2 linked regions of the Macaca fascicularis genome follow. The protein of the gene in region 2 binds, or shares a complex with, the protein of the main gene of each other region. Links are inferred from orthologs where the notes say so. Each region holds a gene or a part of one and is shown on either strand. Other genes may lie near its edges.

Region 1 (5,196 bases), on a different chromosome or scaffold from region 2:
TAGCAAGTCTTGGGAAGTGCCTTCCAGATAGAGGAAATAGTTGGAGAAATATGGAAGTCAGCATAAGACATATGTGGAGAGCAGAGTGTAATCTGATTATTGATTTTAGCTGGAGTTGGGAGTGGATTAGGGAATATTGGGAGAGAGAAGGCTGTAAGGGTGATTTGAGCTGGCCTGTAGAAGGCCTTAGCTGCCAGGCCTGGGTGTGTAGACTTTATTTGGTAAATAAAGGGCAAGTGTGGAAGAGTTTTGTGTAGGGGATAAGCATGCTTTCTTGTGGCAGGGCAGGGGAGACTTGAGGGTGGGTGAGTGGTCAGAGGTGGGGACCCCCTTGTTGGGAAGTGATGCATGATCTCAGTTGCAGTATTTGAATTACTAGGGTGCTAATGGTGGTCCTGGGAAGGAAGGGAGCAGAGCACAAGGGCTTTTCAAAGGAAGGGCATGTTGGATTTGCGAGGGATTGGTTGGGCAGGGTGGAAGACAGTCAGAGCTAGATCTTACTGTTCACTAATGTGGCACAAAGTGTTGGGTAAAGGACTATGGTGAGCAGATAGGATACTACTGGGAGACCACCTTGGATTCATCTTTGTTTCCTCTCTAGCCCATGGCACTTATATCTAGTCAGTTGCCTGTAGCTGGGTCAAGTGAGGTAGGGGGCCAGATCTCCATCATCAGAAGTGACTCATGGGAGTCAGTAAAACTTCTGGGGTTGGGGCCTTGGAGAGTCTCAAATGGTTGCTGTGGTTTTTCCTTTTATTTTTATAGATTTGGGGGATACCAGTACAGTTTTGCTACATGGATATAATGCATAGTGGTGAAGTCTAGGCTTTTAATGTAACCATGATCCAAATAGTGAACATTGTACCCAGTAGGTAATTTTTCAACCCTCTCTTGGTTGCTGTGGTTTTGGAGACAGGTTCATGGTGAAGCTGGCTGAAGAGACAGATGGGATAATTGTCTCCAATGACCAGTTCCGGGACCTGGCGGAGGAGTCTGAGAAGTGGATGGCAATCATCAGAGAACGGTGAGGGAGCCCTCCTGCTGAGAATTGGGCACAGATGCAGATGTTTTTCTAAAGCCAGCTCTGCTCTGGCCATGGGGTGAAAACTCTGGGAAGCAGGTGAAGTTTTCTTGAAGGATGGAGCCAGCAGCTTCTGGTGATACTGGTCTCAGTCGTCTGGGAGGTGGGCCAGGGCCCCCTCTGTGACCACATATCTTTCGCCATCCAGCCTGCTGCCCTTTACCTTTGTGGGAAACCTCTTCATGGTACCTGATGACCCACTGGGACGAAACGGCCCCACCCTGGATGAATTTCTGAAGAAGCCAGCCAGGTAATCCTTCCCCTAGACTACTTGCGGGCAGCCCCCACCCCTGGCCCTCTCTCAGCAGGCCCAGAGACTTGGGTGGAAGTGTGATCTCAGTTTGAGTTGCCTTGGCCTTTATAAGCTTCCCAGGGGATCCTGACATAGAACCTCCTTGCTGGTAGGGAAACACCTGCTTCCTGTTTCTCTTAATCAGCATGTTTGATGGAGTTATTTGGAAAACGGTTGCTTATACTGAGATCCAGTTGTATTCGGCATGCCTTCTACTGACCATTACATAAGTGATTCATTTAGGACTAGAACTAGATCATAATAGTGGCAGAGTTCACCCTGGTTCCAAAAGAACGGCCCAGCTCCCCTTCAGAAGTGGGTTGATACTGCCACTCAGTGGTCAGCTTCAGGAACTTCAGGGTTTCTCCCCTAAAGCCAAGAATAGGCAGGACAATTAAGAGAGGGGTAGCCCACTAAGATCTAATTTCCCCCCAGGATGCTCATCAGCTCTTTTTGGTCTGTTTCTTCCTAGGACACAAGGGTCTTCTAAGGCTCAGCATCCTTCCAGGGGCTTTGCAGAACATGGTAAACAGCAGCACGGGAGAGAAGAGGAAAAAGGTAGTGGTGGCATTCGGAAGACCCGGGAAACAGAGCGGCTCCGGCGGCAGCTGCTGGAGGTGTTTTGGGGTCAGGATCACAAGGTGGACTTCATCCTGCAGCGGGAGCCATACTGCCGGGACATTAACCAACTGTCTGAGGCCCTGCTCAGTCTTAACTTTTGAGCCTCACCTGCTTGAGTGGTTGCCGCCCCGTCAGCTCCAGCTGCCTCCAGCTCAGCCCTTTCTGTGAGAGTCCCTCTGCTGCTCACACTCTGATCCAGAGGCACCCTGAGTTGATGCTTTGGATCAGGGAAGCCACTTTGGGACAGGTCCATAAAGTGACCTGATCTTACCGAGTGAGGACCTCAGCCAGCTCTCAAGAGGTTCTGCTCAGCCTTAACTTCTCAACTTTGCCTTAGCACAGGGTTTCTGTAGGGAGTAGGGGCTGCTGGAGAGGATTAGTTCTGGACACTGAGACTGTTGGCTCCACCTCCAAGCTGAGCTGGGGTGGAGGGCAGGGTGGGCGGGAACTGACAGGAAGTTAAGCTGTTCCTCTCTCTGGCTGCTGCTGTGGATGGCCAGAGGACAGGATACTCCCTGGCTGAGCTCCTGGGAGTGTGGAAGGAGACGCTGGGCCCTGGAAGGGCCACAGCGTTATGTGGATGGGGCCACGATAGAATGGAGTGAGCTAGTGAAGAAGGCAGAGGGAGACTTGGCTTCTGGTCTCAGCTATGCCTGTTTGTGACCTTGATTGAGTTGCTTGGGCTTTACTTCCGCCTACAAATCAGTGGTAAAAATACCTGTTGGGAGGAGAAATGAGAACATAGAGGAAAGCTTCTTGGAGAAAAGGTGCTTGGACCAAGTCTCAGGTGTGTCTGCCTGTGGCTGCACAGGCTCTCTAACCAAAACCTCACTTTCAGAGAGATGTGGGTCCTTTGTCTTCAGGGTCCACACCCTAGATTTTAACACTGCATTCTCACTATAACATGCCCTATAATGGCTGCATCCCTTTTGAGCAACCTCCAAAATCCACGTTTATACAATAGGTAAATTAGGGATGACTGCATTATCAGAATACTCTCAGGGTTCCTATAAATGGCAGCTCTCCTGTTGTATTCAAGTGTTTGTTTACAGACTAACAAATTTGTTGGCAAATCCCTGGTTAGATGCACTTGCTGGTGTTGAGATGAACACGTCGATTTTTCACCAAATCGATGAAGCCATGCTCTGCAATGACAATATTAATGTGATCCAACCCTAACATTTTCTCTATGGAAGATATATGTTGCATAAAGTGAGGCACACTTCTGCTTTATGTATGTGTGTATGGGGATGGGAAGACTTAACGGAAGTTGAACCAGTTGGTTCTAGATGAACCAATTATCTGGAAAATGAAATAACCAGAGTTGGAAGGCACTTGACTGGCCACCAAACCAACTCTGCTGTCACTAACATGCTCTCTCCACCCTGATTCCTACAGGTCATTGCCCTTGGTCTGCTTGAAGTCCTCCTGTGCCAGGGAATTTACTATCTCCAAGGTAGCACATTCCCTGTGTAGATGGTATTAATCAGTACTCCTTCCTTTAGTGCAGCCTAAAGTATGCTTTTCTGTTACGTCTACCTTTGAGGCTGGTCATACCCCCAGGAACAATACAGAGCCAGTCAACTTCCTGGAATCCAAGACCAGATAAAGAAGTAGGACAGGTGCCCCTGGATTCTGTTCTATGTGGGCCCTGTGGTGAGTCTCTGGATAAGATCTTTTCCAGGCCGTGACTTTTGCCTCCCTCTGAATGGCACAGGGAGTTGAATACTGCATGGAGAATGTAACGATGATGGGGAGGGTCCTTGGGTCCTTGTGTCCTCACCCCTCCCTTTTTGGTGATTTACACCACTGTACCATACTGACCCAGGCTGGGGGCAGGTGTGTTGGAGACAGGCTGGTCAAGGAGGTGACAGTGATTCAGAGATAACCCAGAGGTCCCTGAGAAGAAGAGACTGGTTAATATGGCCTGAACTGGTGGCTGGGGGAACTGTGTCTGATCAAGTTATGGCAGATGTCACAGCTTTAGGTAGGTAAAAAGGGTCTTAGGTGAAAACTTGGGAGGTTTTTTTTTCTCCGGATAGGGTTGTTTATAGTTCTTGATTGGTATCTTGCCCTTTTCACTTTCAGTGATGGTGGGTGTACAGTAGACCAAAAGTATCTTCTGCCCTTTTGTGCTAACGGCGCTGGTTGACTTGAGTGGCCCCAGTCAGATGAGAGGCAAGTCCTAAACTTCTTATAGACAGGGATGTTGGCTTTGTTCTGCTGCAGCCTGATAAACTGGGACCACTGTGTGGTTAGTAATGCACTTGCCATTTGGTGACACAGACTGAAGTCTATCCTACACCTGGGCCTCACCTCTTCCTCTACTGGCATTCTAATGGCACTCTGACAGCATCCAGGGTGACTACAGGGCCCACTGGAAATGGATCATCATTCTGTCTTCTAGTGCCTACCTTTATCATAACCAGATGTCCCAAACTTGTGACAAGCTCTTTTGGCAACTGAAGGACCAAGAAGGGAGAGGGTGATGAGAGAGACTGCCCATTATAACTTTCAAAACCCCGTCTTGGGGGAAGAATCATCTAGGGTGACATTCCTTGAAGTAAATCGTAGGCGAATCTAGGCCAGAGAGATGAGCCAAGGTTAGTGAGATAATTTATCTTTATTGCCTAAACTGCAGAGCATTCTCTACACAGCATAAAGGAGAAGTGGGGCAGCTGCAGGACATGTAGAGAAACCCAACTAGAAAATCTTGCAAGGAGTTGAAAAGATTAATGTCCCAACCTGATGAGATTACAGCCTTGAGACAATAAGGTGGAGCAACAGAACAATGGGAAAGAGGACTGGGGGAGAAATCTAAGAACCAGATGGCTTCAGCTCTCTAGAGGAGCTGAGCCTATTCACAGTGCCTAACCTGGAAGCCTATGAGGGACAGGCCTCAGGCCCTTGCCATGACCTACTTAGGCTACAATTTCCTTTAAGGCAGCCCCTAGCTCTGGGAAGGAGTACTGGTAGCCAGTAGCCAGTGTTCGCCGTGGGATCACCTTCTGGCCCTCCAGCAGCATGATGGCACGCTCTCGCCCAAAGACAGCTTGCACTATAGTGCTGGGGACAGGGATGAAGGCTCGGTGGCCCAGGGCAGCACCCAAAGCCTGGGCAAACTCAGCATTAGTGGCGGAGGATGGAGCCACTCCATTCAGGACCCCGTGCACGTGGTTTGCTTCAAGAGCATGGGTCAGGA
Region 2 (5,196 bases):
TTCAGTAGGAATGGCCCTGCTCCTAGGTTCTTGGCTCATTTGCCAAGACTACAATAGCACTCGCATTTATCAGTTATGCTTGTGTGAAGCTGGTTATTGCAATTCATTGTTCTCAAAATACTTTCATGAAAAGCCTGACCCGAGAAAAAGCCTTCTCTGTAATCATATTAATTAGAACATAAATGTCTACTTTGCCATAATTATACAAAGAGCCCAAATGGGCAATTAACTCCAGTTGGTTGCTTCTCTCTGAGCCATACTTGCCAGCTCTTATTACCGCATTCCAGAGAGAGTCAACCTGGATGGAGTTGGTCCCCTAAATAAATGTAGCGATAAAGAAATGGGTGCTCCAAATCAGTTTCATCAGAATGATGAGGTACAGTACTGCAGCTATGTCTGCAATAGCATTTCAACTTTACTTTTTTTTCCCTAGCATGTCCTTAAGGATTTTCTTCCCAGTTTTTCATAATCTTTCTTCTAAAGCTGTAATGTCTTATATCCTTAATAGGCATGTTTAGATTTCTCCCAAATTTTCCAAATTAACTTTCTTTCAATGTAACCAAAACAAAACCATGGCATACAGTAAACTAAAAGGGTAGACAGGAGGGAAAGGTTGCTGCAATTACAGAAAATTTAGAAATCAAACTTTACCAGTTACATCTGAGACAAGACAAACTTTCCAACACATTGGAATCATCAGAAGGACTTTAAAAAATACGACTGCTAGCAGGGCGTGGTGGCTCACGCCTGTAATCCTAACACTTTGGGAGGCCAAGGCGGGCAGATTGCCTAAGCTCAGGAGTTTGAGACCAGCCTGGGCAACACAGTGAATTCCTGTCTCTACTAAAAAAATACAAAAACTTAGCTGGGCGTGGCAGTGTGTGTCTGTAGTTCCAGCTACTCGGGAGGCTGAGGCAGAAGAATTGCTTGAATCCGGGAGGCAGAGGTTGCAGTGAGCCGAGATCGTGGCACAGCACTCCAGCCTGGGCGATGGAGTGAGGCTCCATCTCCAAAAAAAAAAAAAAAAAAAAAAAAAAAAAATACAACTGCCTGTCGCTGAAGCCCAGAAATGATTTCATTGGCATGGGGGGCAACCTGGGCATCAGAATTTGTTTAAAACTTCCCAGATGATTCAAATGTGTAGTGAAGTTTGGGGACCACTGATCTAAGGCATTAGATAACTGGGCAGGAAAATATAAAACTTTAACTCCTGTCTGGGGCAATTTAGTTCTGTAAGGGAACAGAATGGTTATGGCATCCTTCTGACGCTGTATTCATCGGTTCTAACTAATCACGCAGGCTTTGTCTGCATCAGTATATTCAATCACATATTGTGGGTAAATCTGATCTTTCTCAAAGATGACAAAAACGGAGGGATTCAACCTGGTATCCACAAAGCTGTTGTATGGCTGAGGAGGGCTCATGTACGACACATTTCCTTCAATAAAATTTCCAACCAGAACTCGGGCTACAAACATAACGATGTTTTTGGCATCATATGGGCAATTTTTGTGGGAATAGATGGCATCTTTTGCAAAGTAACTTCCTAGAAAGAATCAGAAAGAAAGGTTAAGACATATTATAAAAGAAGGTATGCAGTTTATAAGATTAGTTATACATAGTCAGATGGGCGTGGACTAAGCATATGTCAATAATACCTTACTGATACTTATAAACTTTTCTTTGCACTTAAAAACATGTTCATGATGCAGGCAAACTTAAATACAGTATATAACCCTATAGAAATGACTGAGGAATATTTGCTACAGTGCAGAGCTCATGCTGATAGTGTGAACCATTGGGTGCAATGACCAAATGAGAATGACACAGTGGCCCAATTCATGCAGTTCACCCAGTGTGAACTGAATTGAGCCAACTTGGAACTGATGAGTCAGTTGATGCTTTGTCCTCTCTAAAACAACCTCAGATTATGATTGCTGCTTCCATACACAGCAGACCAACAATTTCCTGCCAAGTTAAGATTTTTATTTTTATCATTGTCAAGTGCTACTCTGGGCAGGTGCAGTGGCTCATGTCTGTAATCCCAGTATTATGGGAGGTTGAGGCGGGTGGATCACTTGAACCTAGGAATTTAAGACCAGCCTGGGCAACATGGGGAGACTCCATCTCTACAAAAAATTTAAAAATTAGCCGGGCATGGTGGTGTGCACTTATAATCCCAGCTACTCAGGAAGCTGAGGCAGGATTGATTGAGCCCAGGAAGCTGAGGCTGCAGTAAGCTAGAATCACACCACTGCACTCCAGCCTGGGAAACAGAGTGAGAATCTATCAAAAAATACAAATAATATTTTTTAAGAAAGCTACTCTGTCATTTTTTTTTTTTTTTTTTTTTTTGAGACGGAGTCTCGCTCTGTCACCCAGGCTGGAGTGCAATGGTGCGATCTTGGCTCACTGCAAGCTCCGCCTCCCAGGTTCACGCCATTCTCCTGCCTCAGCCTCCCACGTAGCTGGACTACAGGCGCCCACCACCACGCCCGGCTCATTTTTTGTATTTTTAGTAGAGACGGGGTTTCACCGTGTTAGCCAGGATGGTCTTGATCTCCTGACCTCGTGATCTGCCCACCTCGGCCTCCTAAAGTGCTGGGATTACAGGCGTGAGCCACCGCGCCCGGCCAGGGCTACTCTGTCATTTTAAAGACCATGAGTAGATATTGCCAACTCCAATTTCCATGCAAGAATCAATAAGTAAAATGAATTTATCTGTGGTAACAAATGTTTAATATACTTTGCATTTACTTTGTTTTTGTTCTTTTTACCATTTTATAGTTAGATGTTTCAATTCCAGAAACATTGCTTATCCTGAATAGGTCAGATACTAGATATTCTATGCACATAATGTTCTACTATATTTAAAGTGAAATATGGAAGTCTACCTATACTGATCTACCACATCCAATCCCACCCCTCTTCCCAAAACAGTTTATGGCTGGTGGGAATTCTTTCACACCTGTTTCTATGCATTCACATACATATATGTGCATATACTCTAATATAGTTTTATGGTGGTTTATTTGTTCATAGATAGGATCATAATATATGAACTGTTCTATTTGTTCATAGATAGGATCATAATATATGAACTGTTCTACAACTTTTTTTTCCACTTTAGTCCTGGAAGTCTTACTATGTCACTACATTCAACTCTCTCTCTCTCTCTCTCTTTTTTTTTTTTTTTTTTTGCTGCTGTTGTTGTTGTTGTTTTTGAGACGGGGTCTCTGTCGTCTGTCGCCCAGGCTGAAGTGCAGTGGTGCAATCTTGGCTCACTGCAGGCTTGACGTCCTGGGCTCAAGCAATCTTCCCACCTCAGCCTCTAATTCTAATTGGTATGAGGCAACAGCTCGTTGTGGTTTTAATTTGCATTTCCCTGATGATTAATGATGTTGAGCATTTTTTCATGAACTCATTGGCCATTTGTATTTCTTCTTTTGAGAAATGTCTATTCAAGTCTTTTGCTCATTTTTGAAACTTTTATTTGCACGTATTTTATGCTGAATTTATTCCTGTGCCATAAGTTTTTGCTTCTTCAGTATCTTCTGGGATAGTTTTTTCTTCCGGGCACCTCCTCTTCTGGTTTAAGAACACGGTGTTCTTTTTCAGTGAAGATTGTCTCTATATGGCAGGGGGAGCTCAGGCATGAGTTAATCCAACCATGAGCTCTGGAAGTCAGGTGGCACATCTTTGGTGCTTTGTTCACCTGAATATCCTTGATGACCAAAGAATCTACAGCTCAACCCTTAAGTTCAGCATTACTCTCTGCATTTTTAAGTGTGTACATCAAAAATTCAACTCTTTTTGGGTCACCAACTGTGTGACCAGCCCCACTGTTTGGCCTGGGCACTCCTACCAACTCCACCCTTGGAACGTTGGCATGATACACATTGTTTCTATACAGCGACATCTTTCGGACACTTGCTGGCTTTTCATATAGGCATACTCTTGATGGCCTGGGCAGTCTCATGGGTGTTCTTAAAGTGAACATGAAGATTTGAACCTCTTTATTTGCATGATTTCATGGAGTTTTCTGGGTCAAGTGAACAGCGAACCATTTCACAGATCACCTCAGGCCACTTATGGGAACAGCTTGCGCATTTTAAAATCGGGTTGTTTGTTCTCTTGCTGTTGAATTGTTTGAGTTCCTTATACATTTTGGATATTAATCCCTTATCAGATGTATGGCATGCAAATATTTTCTTCCACTCTGTGGGTTTGTCTGTTCACTTTGTTAATTGTTTCCTTTGCTGTGGAGAAGCTGTTTAGTTTGATGACATTTGTCGATTTTCGTTTTTGTTGCATCAGTTTTTTTATAACACACTTATGTAATCTGGAATCTGTATTTTCTTTTTTTTAAATTCCCTTTATTGTGTTAAGAAACTTCATTTCTATTCCTACATTTCTAAGTGCTTTTTTTTTTTCTTTTTTGAGACAGTTTTCCTCTGTAGCTGAGGCTGGAGTGCAGTAGCAGGATCTCGGATCACTGTAGCCTCCCCTTCTTGTGATCAATCAACTCTCGTGCCTCAGCCTCCCGAGTAGCCAGGACTACAGGCATGTGCCACCACCCCTGACTAACTTTGTATTTTTATTAGAGAGGGGGTTTCACCATGTTGGTCAGGCTGGTCTCAAACTCCTGACCTTAGGTGATTCACCCACCTCAGCCTCCCAAAGTGCTGGGATTACAGGAATGAGCCACAGTGCCTAGCCTAACATTTCATTTTTTAGGATAAATATTTGTTTGGATTCTAACATAGGATAGACCTGTAAGAAACTGATGGGTTTTAATTTCACCTGTTATATGTCACTCAAGATGGTTACATTTCCCATTTCCTTCAAACACTTCTAGGTAAGTTTCACTGATACATTTAAACTTAATAAACTTATGAAATCTCATCAGTAAATTCATTCCCCAGCTTGAAACCTTTCATTAGTTTCCCATGCCCTTACAGTCAAGTTTAGCTCTTTATGGTCATATCTTGTACCACTTCTCCCTTCTCCACTATGTGGTGACTCTACAAGGCAGGGGAATCCTACTCTAGCCCAATCTTTGGGAACACCTCTCTAGCTGGGTTAGCTGTCCACAGGACCTGTTCTTTTTTTTTGAGATGGAGTCTTGCTCTGTCGCCCAGGCTGGTGTGCAGTGGCACGATTTTGGCTCACTGCAACCTCTGCCTCCCGGGTTCA

What was found.
Region 1: the proteins of ZC3HAV1 (region 2) and KHNYN are in contact, whole or in part, in a crystal structure (PDB 9BGL), measured with the Homo sapiens proteins. The link is inferred for Macaca fascicularis from reciprocal best matches to the Homo sapiens genes ZC3HAV1 and KHNYN. Residues at the interface, in NP_064504.2 of Homo sapiens: Glu5, Val6, Cys8, Phe9, Lys12, Ile13, Ala16, His17, Glu29, Ile30, Ala31, Leu32, Leu113, Glu115, Phe118, Ser127, Gly128, Leu129, Asn130, Glu133; in NP_001277186.1 of Homo sapiens: His651, Lys652, Asp654, Phe655, Gln658, Arg659, Pro661, Tyr662, Asn677, Phe678.

Annotation. Positions count from the first base shown.
Region 1 is NC_088381.1:92,255,470-92,260,665, forward strand, and holds part of KHNYN (protein KHNYN), read left to right. Parts: intron 1-916; coding exon 917-1,024; intron 1,025-1,229; coding exon 1,230-1,331; intron 1,332-1,845; coding exon 1,846-2,095; 3' UTR 2,096-4,915; coding exon of another isoform or gene 4,916-5,196. Other genes in the region: epimerase family protein SDR39U1, read right to left, coding at 4,916-5,196.
Region 2 is NC_088377.1:180,718,969-180,724,164, forward strand, and holds part of ZC3HAV1 (zinc finger CCCH-type antiviral protein 1), read right to left. Parts: intron 1,547-5,196; coding exon 1,284-1,546; 3' UTR 1-1,283.